2 separate regions of the Mus musculus genome follow, and region 1 is reported to be linked to region 2. The links are microRNA targets in miRTarBase. Many come from high-throughput screens and were not tested one by one. Region 2 holds a microRNA gene; the other region holds the end of a gene's coding sequence.

Region 1 (5,068 bases), not on the chromosome of region 2:
GAGCCTTCTTGAGTGTTGGGCAAACAGCACTCTGTCTTTCTGACTAAGGATGTGTGAAAGCTCACGCGTGAAGACACCCAGGTTAAGGCTCCAGTTTTAGCTCCATGTGAACTCCTTTGAGAACAGACACTTTCCAGTCTGCCGAGTTCCTGCTTTCAGCAGCAGGAGTCTAAGGTGCTTTCCAGGTTAGGTCTGTTGGTTTAAGGAAGCACATGTGATACAGAGTGGGAAAGGAAGAAGGCTGAGACAGCTGCTCCTTATCCCGTGGCCCAGGCACTGCCTACAGGCACGGTCTCCCTCTGCTCCCTGCTCTCATACTCGGATCCAGGAGACGGCTTCGTTCTCTTCTCCCTGCTTATTTCTTTAGGAGGTGCCCATTATAAATGGGTAGATTCACATCCACATCTCTACCTTGGCCTCGGATGGCGACCATGCCCTCTCCCGCATCTCACCATACACATGGCAGTTCAGTTATCCTGAGGGTCCTCACAGCCTTTGGGGAAGTAGTGGACTAATCTGGAAGTCTGTCTGTTGACGTGTAGTCTTCTTTCTCTAGAACAACATGAAAAAGGAGGGAAAAGCTCACACCCCTGAGCACTTCAGTGGCAAAGAAGATGGAGCATCTGTGTCTGGAGCGCCCAGTTCCTCCTCCCTCTTGGCCAGAATGCGAGCAAGAAACCACATGATTTTGCCGGAGCGCTTAGAGAGTGACAGTGAACATCTTGCTGAGGCTGCTGCCGTGCCTCCCTGCGGCACCGAACACGACGACCTTCTGGTGGACATGAGGAACTTCATTGCTTTCCAGGCCCAGGTGGATGGCCAGGCCAGCACTCAGGAAATCCTGCAGGAGTTTGAGTCCAAGCTGTCCGTGGCACAGTCCTGTGTCTTCCGAGAACTGCTGAGAAATCTGTGCAATTTCCATAGAACTCCTGGTGGGGAAGGGATTTGGAAGCTGAAGCCAGAATACTGCTAACAGTGATGCTCTCTAAACTCTTTCAGATGGAAAGCTTGGCTCCCCGAGCCTGTGATTAGTGTTCGTGGGGTGTGTGTGTGTGTGTGTGTGTGTGTGTGCGCGCGCGCGCGCGCGCGTGTGCATGAGTGACTGTACTTGGTATTTACTATGTCATCTACCTCAAGACTAAAACTTGAAGAAGAAAATAATTGGAGGGTTTTTGTTTTGTTTGTTTGGTGGCACTGTGAATTAAGTTATAAAACCAGGGACCTAACAGTTGTTTAATGGAGCAAATACGTTACTTAACCCAAAAGATGTTGTCAGGGAGCACACAGTATTTAAGAATACATCTCGGTTCTTCTTACTGGTGCTGGGCATATGTCTTCTCTTTATCCACCCCATCTTATAAGTCACTTCACAGTATCCGATAATCTTGGTACCTTGATACAGCATGGGTTTTCTGACCCACTGGTTACATACAGAAAGACACTTGCTATCTGTCAAATCATTAATTACATATAAATAATTCTTCATAGCACTTTTAGATTAGCAGGCTTGGGTTTTGTTGTTTGTTTGTTTGTTTGTTTTAAATGTTGCTGAAGACAGACTCTGGTGCCTTGCACATGCTCAGTATGTGCTTTACCACCAAGTTCCTTCCCAGTTCATACATACGTGTCAAAGTAGGAAGTCTGGTTTTTCTTCTCTGTCATCATTATCTAAAGATGGCGGATGGGGTTTGTTTAAATAGGTCAGTCAGTTCTAAACTTTAGTACTTGGCTCAGAAGGAAGTCACAACACCCGTTCGTTTATTTATTTTTTGTTCCAGTGATCAGCCTACAGGAAATGCTATTGCCCTTGTCCTTAGGCTGACTACCAACCTGACTCACTAACATGAAACATTTGTGCTGTGCCTGTGATGTCTGAGATCTAAGTTATACTGAGCTAGAGAATGTCGTATAGACACTTTTTTTGTTTTTTTTTTTCGAGACAGGGTTTCTCTGTATAGTCCAGGCTGTCCTGGAACTCACTTTGTAGACCAGGCTGGCCTCAAACTCAGAAATCCGCCTGCCTCTGCCTCCCGAGTGCTGGGACTAAAGGCGTGCGCCACCACGCCCGGCTGTATAGACAGTCTTTAACTGTCGAAAGTTACCTACCACGCGGTCAGGAAGGGATCCGTGTTCCACCTCTGCCACTGACCTGCCCAGCCTGGGAAGGTTGAATCTGTAAACATGGTTATCCAGCCAAGCTGGGAGAAGCTTAGAGACCAGTTCTCCAGGTTAAAGTACTTTTTAACAATACACACCTTTATACATTGAGCTGCAATCTGATTTCTTTGAACTTTAAATACTTTGTGCGGTATAAATAGATTTAATGTATTAAACATATTAAATAATTACAAATAAAAGATTTAAAAATACTGGTTTTTCCTGTATTGTCACTGTTAGAAATCCTTCAAGCACTCCTGCCTCCCTATCCTGTGCATTCCAGAGCTCTGTGCAGTTGCCCAGGCATTGGCATGGCTCCTGGCATGGGTTACTCCTCCTCTGTGTTTCCCCTGGACTCATGACTGCCCAGCTGAAAATTGTTTCTCAGCCTCCCTGCAGGTGTGGCCCCATGACAGTTCCAGGCAGTGAGATGGAAGACTTCTAGCTTGAAGCTTACACAGAGGCATGGTGTGCATGCCCCTGAAAGTTCCCTGGCTTGCTGGTCAGGATGTCTGTGAGAGCCTCAGGCGTCTCCTGGCATTTCAGGAGAGGGTGGATGGTCTACTAGTCAAGAACAGCTATCTTTGACCAGATACTTTGGAGTGAAATAAATGAAGTGTTATTTAATACTGTTTTAACATCTAATTGGTGTAATGTATGTAACACACTAATGCTGTAAGTTTCCTGTGTATCTCACGTTCGCACTATGCAGGTCTTTTCACTTATGTACCTCTGCTTTCGCTGACCTGCTGATCTCCAAACCCATCACAGGCTCACTTTCCTCAGGCTTGCCCACAGCAACTAGTTTCCATCTTGGTACATTGTTTTAAAATTAGTCTTGTTTCATAAAATAACCTTACTTTAATTTGAATTTCCCTGATTTAACACCAGACAGAATACCATATTCACCTAGTTTCCTCAGTATAAATGAAAGACAGTTATGAAAGAGGCAAGAACAAAAAGCCATTCTGGGCTAGTCCATCATCCGCCACCACTCCAAATGCCAGCTTCGACTCATCGTAGTGCACTGCAAGGCTGACGTCAGACCCCGTGTCTGTCTGTTCCCTCACACTCTGCACGCTGACGTTTGTCACCTGTGGGAAAGTCCATTTTCCTTTTTATCTCGTCCTCTGTGTCTTATTTTTGTGCATTTCCTGTTCCAAGCAAATGATAGAATTAGCTTATTAGATTCCACTGAAGTGTTGCTCTTTTGGCCGGGATTGCATTAGTTTGCCCATTAATTGGAAGATAATAGACTTCTTTATAATTAATATAATTTTCCCATTAGTATTATGAGAGGCCTAATTTTATTGCTTGGGTAACATTCCTCATAAGGGTTCAGTTTTATATTAGCTTCGTTCTAGATGTTTTACAGAATTTTTGTTTAGGATTTTAAAGGATCTTTTACTTTCACATAAAAAAAAAAGTGGAGATGCTTGACTCATTCCTGTGTCACCTCTGTGTTGCTTATCACTGGAAGCGTTTACATTCAAAGCTGCTACATTCAGTTTTTTAATATCCTATGGTCATGATGCAATCTTGTGAATGGCCTTGTTAGTTACAATGTGGTTTGGATGGGAAGTGTCCCACCTGTAGACTCACGTCTTTGAACATGTGGTTCCTAGCTCATGATGCCCTTTTGGACCTCCTGATGGCTGCTATGACAGACTGTGTCACCTGTAATGTGAGCCAAAAATGAACCCTTCTTTCCTTAGGTTCTTTTGTCTGGGTATTTTGTCAGCAATAAGGTAAATGACTAAATGTAATTATACAGAAATAGATATTTTCCTAACATTTGAAAACTGTAGATCATTCTCTCCTTCCTGATTTATACATTTATAAAGCCACCAATCCACCATTATGTCCCATGTCCATATAATCATGGAAATGTGCCTGAACTCTATATTTTGTTAACTTTGTCCATTCATCTTTACCAATAAACCATTTTTAATCATGTAGGTTTCTAATTGACTGTCAAAAATTGTAGAGCAACTCTTGGATCTTTGTTATATCTTGGATATATTAGATCATCTTGTCACATTGGGATTTTGTGACTACAATGAATGAGCAGACTTGTTGAGGATTATTTATGATGCTGGGTCCCGTGCATCTCTGAATAAGCCATAGCTATGTATTTTTATTACATGTTTATAAAGAAATAATTGTGCTATATCTCGCATTTTGTAATAGACAACTTACGTATGCATAGATAGAAAATGTGTATCATGCAAGCAATTCTATCAAATCTTGGTGAGAACAGTGAGTCTGATGTACAACTTACGCTTAGTCCCAACCTTGATTTTGTACCTGTAGTAAAGGACACCTTCTGAAAACCCACGTGTTCTCATTTATACAGGCTCGTCTCCTGCTTCTCTCTACGTTGGCTTTGCTAACTGATGTTATATGTATCATCTAGCAACTTTGCTGAACTTGCACTCTGATCTGTAAATTGTCCTATAATACTTGGATCAGCTGTAATAGTAACGATTGTGTTTCACGTGTTCCAATATGCACACGCTCTGATACGGAGTAGAAATGATTACAGGTGGCATAGTACTTCGCCATCTCTCTTTCCTGCCATCGAGGAGAAGCTCTAACACCTACAGTTGCTGTTTCCTAATAGATGGCTTAGTTGGGTTAAGGGAATATTCTTTCCAGTTTTAAATCCACTGCTGGATTTCATTAAATGTTTCTCCTGCTTTTATCGACAGTTTTCCTCTTTAATACCCTTCCCTAGTTTGGTGAAGTACACAGTCAAATCTTTCAACATCAAAACTTCTCTTAAGCTTCTACCAGTTTGCAGGTGAGGCAGGGATGATGTACAGATTCATTAGCCAAAAGTCAACACTGACGGGAAACCGGAAGAGAAGTCCCTCCCAAACAAAGCCACGTGTCTTTGGAAACTGTCTTT
Region 2 (5,063 bases):
GCTGTGGGCACTGAGGACTGGCACCACACCCGGCGGTGAACTGTCAGGCGCGCACAACTCCTGCAGGCGCGCTGCCGAGCCTGGGCTTGATGCAGCCCCCGAGGGTGGGTACTCCTCAGCGCCACAGCCAGCCTCCCACTTGTATTCAAAGTTGAGGCCGTGGCTTGTCTCCGTGACCGTCAGCACGTCATCACTGTCCACGTGAAAGCCGTCGCTGGTGAACCGCTCCAGCAGCGGGAAAGACGAGGCAGCGGTGAGCTCCGCGGAGGCGGCGGTGGCAGCTGCTGGGGCTGCAGAACCCGAGCCCAGGCCCGTGCTGCCCCCGGGCCGCAGGGAGCGCCAGCGCCGCTCAAACTCCTCCTCCAATTCTGTGGTGCCCTTAGCACACAAGTAGGACAGCAGTAGATGAACCTCTTCAGCTGTGGGCCTCTGCTCTGGCTGCAGCCAGCAGAACTGCATCACCTCGTACCTGCCGGGAGGCCCTCATGGGTGGCCCTGGCCATATCCAGAGGCACGCTGGCCGGAGTATAACCTGCCCTCCGGGGACAGTCCGTTCCCCCATGCTCAGAGTACCCTGGGAACACTAGGGGCAGTCAAGGCAATCTCCCAAGGCAGGCCCAGAGGCCTGGGAAGGGCCCTGAATTAGGGTAGTTCAGGCTGCAGAGACCCAGAAGCCCTGTAGAGGTGGACCGAGCAGCCCCAGGCTGTAGGGCTCAGCCCCCTGTGCCCCTCTGGCCTGCCTGCCCAGGGGGGTGGGGTCCTCACCATCGATCAGATAGAGCCAGCTGCAGCTGGGGCTTGGGCAACTTAAGCTGCTGCTCCCGGACGGCGTAAGCCAGCACCTGCCCGTCCGAGTGCTGGGGGTACGGCTGCGCACCCAACTCGAAAAGCTCCCAGATGGTCACACCCAGGGACCTGCGGGAGCAACCACAGTGACACGTGGCTGAGCATGACTGCACAGAATCCCTGAACACCTGTCATCATGTCAGCCTCTCTGGGACTGGACCTCACTACGCCACAGCCGCCCCTCTCTAGAGGCACAGATGCAAGGCAGAATCCTGTATCCCTTAAGGACAAGTGGCCTTCAACAGCATCTCAGGATGATTTTTAACCAAAATATGGTGCCAGTATTGGGGGGGTGTCAGTTGGTCCTATCCTGAAGGCCCCATACCCTTGACTGTCAAGGCAGTCCCCCCTACACACACACACACACACACACACACACACACACACACACACACACCAGTATAGGAACCTCAGGAACCCATCATCAACGAAGTAGCCTGTAAAGTGCCTCTCATGGCCACAAGGTGGCAGGCATGAGTACACTTTCCCTGTGTGGCAGCCCTAATCCTAGCCAGAGAAGGAAGTCAAAATGCTGGAGCAGGGGGCAGAACTGAAAGGCAGCATCCCCACTAGAATAGCTGACGCCAGCGCCATCTGGGGAGGCGGCATCCCAAGGCCCTCCCGGCAGCCCTGCCTGCGCTCACCACACGTTGCTGCTCTTGGTCTGGTCCACCACCAGCAGGTTGCCGTGAACCTCGTCCACCAGCTCTGGCGCGATCCAGCGCAGCGGCACCCACAGCTGGTCAGCGGTCACGAGATAGTCTTCCTGTAGCACGCAGGGACAGGATGGGAGTGAGCTCCGCTCAGCAGCTGCCCCTGCACACGGGCCCTGACGGCCTTACTCACCCTGTATTTGCAATGCGACAGGCCATAATCACCAACCTTCACTGTCAGGTCAGCCGTAAGCAGGCAGTTCCTCAGGGCCAGGTCACTGCGGAGTGGAAGGCAATGTCAGCAGAGTGTGCCAGCCTGAGTGAGCCCTGGTGGAATGGTTGGGCTCCCGGGCACAGCCAGGCAGACCGACAGGAAGGGGTGTCTGAGGGGCCACCCACTTGTGCCCAAGTTCTGGCTCCACACCCTGTACTGGCTATTTTGGAAGACCTGTGTGGACTTCAATGCATTTCTAATACTTCTTCTTCTTCTTTTTTTTCTTTTTTTTCCAGACAGGGTTTCTCTGTGTAGCCCTGGCTGTCCTGGAACTCATTTTGTAGACCAGGCTGGCCTCGAACTCAGAAATCCTCCTGACTCTGCCTCCCAAGTGCTGGGATTAAAGGCTTGCGCCACCAAGCCCGGTTTTCAATGCACTTCAATGCATGTGAAAATCAGGCAAAAGATGCTCAAGGACGACCCCCCCCCCCCAGCAAAGTGCTGTCTAACTGCACCAGAGCCCTAACCCGCTCCACCCTCTGTCTGATCTGCCCAACAAGGGCCAACAAGCCATGGAGCAGAGAGTCTGCAGTGTCCTCTCAGGACCCTCACCCTTCCGACTACACTCCACCATCCCAGTCCCCAGGAGGTAAGAACTGATGGAGAAACCGAAGCCCGGAGTGTCTCAGAGGGTCCTGCCAGCAGTCAGAGCCCATGTTCTAGAGTGCAGCCCTGCCTGGCCTGCTACACAAGCTGGAGCCGAGGTCTAGAACAGTATGGACCACAAAGGCCCCTTTGTGTGGAGGATAAAAATCACCAACTCAGTGGGAAGCCTGGAATGCCAGGCTCTGTATAACTCTTGCTTGGCTATAGCGCCCCACCCCCAGGTGTTTGGGGTACAGGACAATAGAGTGCCACGGGACGCACCCTCATCTGCCATACTGGCTGTTCTGCTGAGAGATCTCTGGATGTAGATGGGGCCACCTTGGCCTGCCTCTACCCCAGGAGGACTGTGTCAGGGGACAGGGTGGGGTGACCTGGGTCCATGCCTATGGGTGGGGCAGCTGGGCTAGGCAGCAGGCAGGGCAGGAGGCTGGCAGCTGCCCTCTTCAACAAAATCACTGATGCTGGAGTCACTGTGCACCCACTCAGCACCAGGATATTGTTGGGGAGGACGGCCTGTGCAGCGTTGGAGCTGGTGGGCCGCTTGTCCGTTGCCACTTCTTCCAGCATGTGCCCCCAGCTCATGGGAGGCTGGGCATCCTGGCCACCAGAGGCAGGAGAGAGCCACCCCTCCCACTACAGGGCCAGCCCAGCCACTCCCTTTGTGGCCTGAGGGAAAGAGGCTGGGGTTGGTATGGAGCCCAAGTATGGCTGACTGCTCTAGTAGACAGGATGGGTTTCTTCATTTAACTGTCTGCAAGGTGAGTTTCAAATGCCAAGTCTTCACAATTTATTTCATTTTGAGATGGTCCTGCTACATAGTCCTGGCTATTCTGGAGTTCATTAGGTAGACCTAGCAGGACTTGAACTCACAGAGATTCTCCTACCTCTGCCTCCCAAGCGCTGCAATTAAAGGCGTGAGCCACCATGCCCAGTTAGTTTTCCCAGTTCTAAGAATGATAAAGTTCCCTGCAGAGTGGCTATTTTTAGATGAACCCAGTTCATGAGGCCCACAACGTGGGATCACCGTGACTTTTCTGCACAGGGTCGTGTGATGGTGAGGGTTAAGGCCCTGGGGGAGTGGGGCTTTGTAGCTGTAGCCTGGCTAGTCTCGCTAGCCCTCACCTGTGTACATAGTTGTGTCGATGTAGATGCAAGACGCCACACGCCACCTCGCACGCCATGCGCTGCAAGGTAAGTGGGTCAGGCGCCATGGACTCTGTCACCCGGCAGCTCCGTAGATAACCTTTGAGGTCCCCCTGATGGACGAGAGAGCACACAGTCACCTGCTAGCTGCAGCGACCAGCCCATCACAAGTCTGCCACCCACACCAAGAGAACCTGGGTCTGGTGGCCTGTGGATCAGCTGTGAACCCTAGTGTTCACTGCTGTTTCAGCAAAGCCTGTGTCTCAATTCTGGCACAGTGACCTCCATATAAGCAGCCACCAGAGCTGTGCATGTAAAGGGCCCAAGGGGCAACACGAAGACCCAGAACTCAGGCTCTGCCCCAGGAGCTTCGGGAGCCCTGTGGCTGTCCCAGGACACCTCTCGCTGAACTATCCAAGACCCCACAGTGTTGCCCCTGCTGCTGCTGGCTCACTTTCTCTCCGCAGACCTCCTCTGAGGGAGAGCAAGGACTACCAGGACTCTACTTTAGAAATAACAAAAGACCCCAAGAGGCTGAGCAAGAGAGGAGCCACTCCCCTTTGGAACAATGAGCTACAGAACAGGACCGGGAGAGACAGAGCTACCTCCCCGAGAGGACCACTTACCAGTGGACAGAACTCCATAACCAGCAGGTAGGGGGTCACTTCAGCACACTGGGCCAGGCACTGGAGCAGGTTGCTGTGCTGCAGGGCCCTGGAAGAGTCCACGGGTGTTTAAGTTGGAGGGCAGGAGAGGGTGTCCCATAGCCCTCAGTTTCTCCCACTGTGCTGCTCCCCTGCCCGGCCCCACCCCGCCCCCGCCACACCACCCACCTGTAGGGCTGCGCCTCCTCCAGGAACTGCATCTGCTCCTGCACGCTGGCGCTCACCTTCAGCTCCTTCACCACCACCTGCGTGCCACTGACGCCCGAGTGTACCTCCCCCAAAAACACCTGCCAAATGTGACAGGCATCACCAGGTCCCCTTTCAGTCTCCATAGGAAAAGCCATCTAGCGCCCAGGGCCTCAGATGGTCATACAACTTCTCACCAAGCTCTGGCTAGAACCCTCAGCCCCAGTCCACCCACAAGGCTCCTACTTTTCTCACTGCCTGGGGACTACAATGAGGAAAAAGGAATCAGGTACATGGTCCAGTCTGGGGCGGGTGTTAGAAAGAGCCCCTCCCTAGGGGATCCCCAGGAGTAGTGGGTCCACCCTTTGCCATTCCTGCCACCCCGGGGCATGCTTACCTTCCCAAACCAGCCGTGGCCAATCTCCTTTAAGTACAGGAGGCTGTGCCGGCCCAGGTCCGTGGACTTGAGAAGTTGCACTAGAGTGGAACAGAAATCCAGACACAGCTTAGCCACCGCTCCCTCTCCATCTTCCCGACCACGCTCTCCAGAGCCCAGAGAGCTTTCCCAAGCTCCCCAGCCAAAGAAGCTTCAATAAAGTGGAGGCCAGGTTTGAGCGCTGTCATCGAGGGCCAGTGTCTCTTAGGCTCTGGGGTGGCTGCTGTCAGCAGAGCTATGGACCTCAAGTCTCC

What was found. Region 2 holds the annotated microRNA mmu-miR-3065-5p (UCAACAAAAUCACUGAUGCUGG, at 2,823-2,844, shown strand). A microRNA usually pairs through its seed, bases 2 to 8, with sites in the 3' UTR of a target mRNA and lowers its output. Matches are read on the target gene's strand: a 7mer-m8 pairs with bases 2 to 8, a 7mer-A1 pairs with bases 2 to 7 and ends in A, and an 8mer does both.
Region 1: miRTarBase lists Ercc6 as a target of mmu-miR-3065-5p. Seed matches in the 3' UTR shown: 7mer-m8 at 1,514-1,520 and 7mer-A1 at 4,231-4,237.

Annotation. Positions count from the first base shown.
Region 1 is chr14:32,576,130-32,581,197 of GRCm38, forward strand. It overlaps Ercc6 (excision repair cross-complementing rodent repair deficiency, complementation group 6), which reads left to right. Exons shown (of 21, transcript NM_001081221.2): 21 at 557-4,861. The coding sequence ends at 973. Among named protein-coding and RNA genes, the nearest start is that of Prrxl1, 21 kb to the right of the region's middle.
Region 2 is chr11:120,011,958-120,017,020 of GRCm38, forward strand. Mir3065 (microRNA 3065) reads left to right here and starts at 2,810; the gene lies at 2,810-2,896. It overlaps Aatk (apoptosis-associated tyrosine kinase), which reads right to left. Exons shown (of 14, transcript NM_001198785.1): 4 at 4,771-4,850; 5 at 4,356-4,474; 6 at 4,149-4,236; 7 at 3,502-3,635; 8 at 1,693-1,777; 9 at 1,491-1,612; 10 at 766-915; 11 at 1-469. Mir338 (microRNA 338) reads right to left here and starts at 2,905; the gene lies at 2,808-2,905.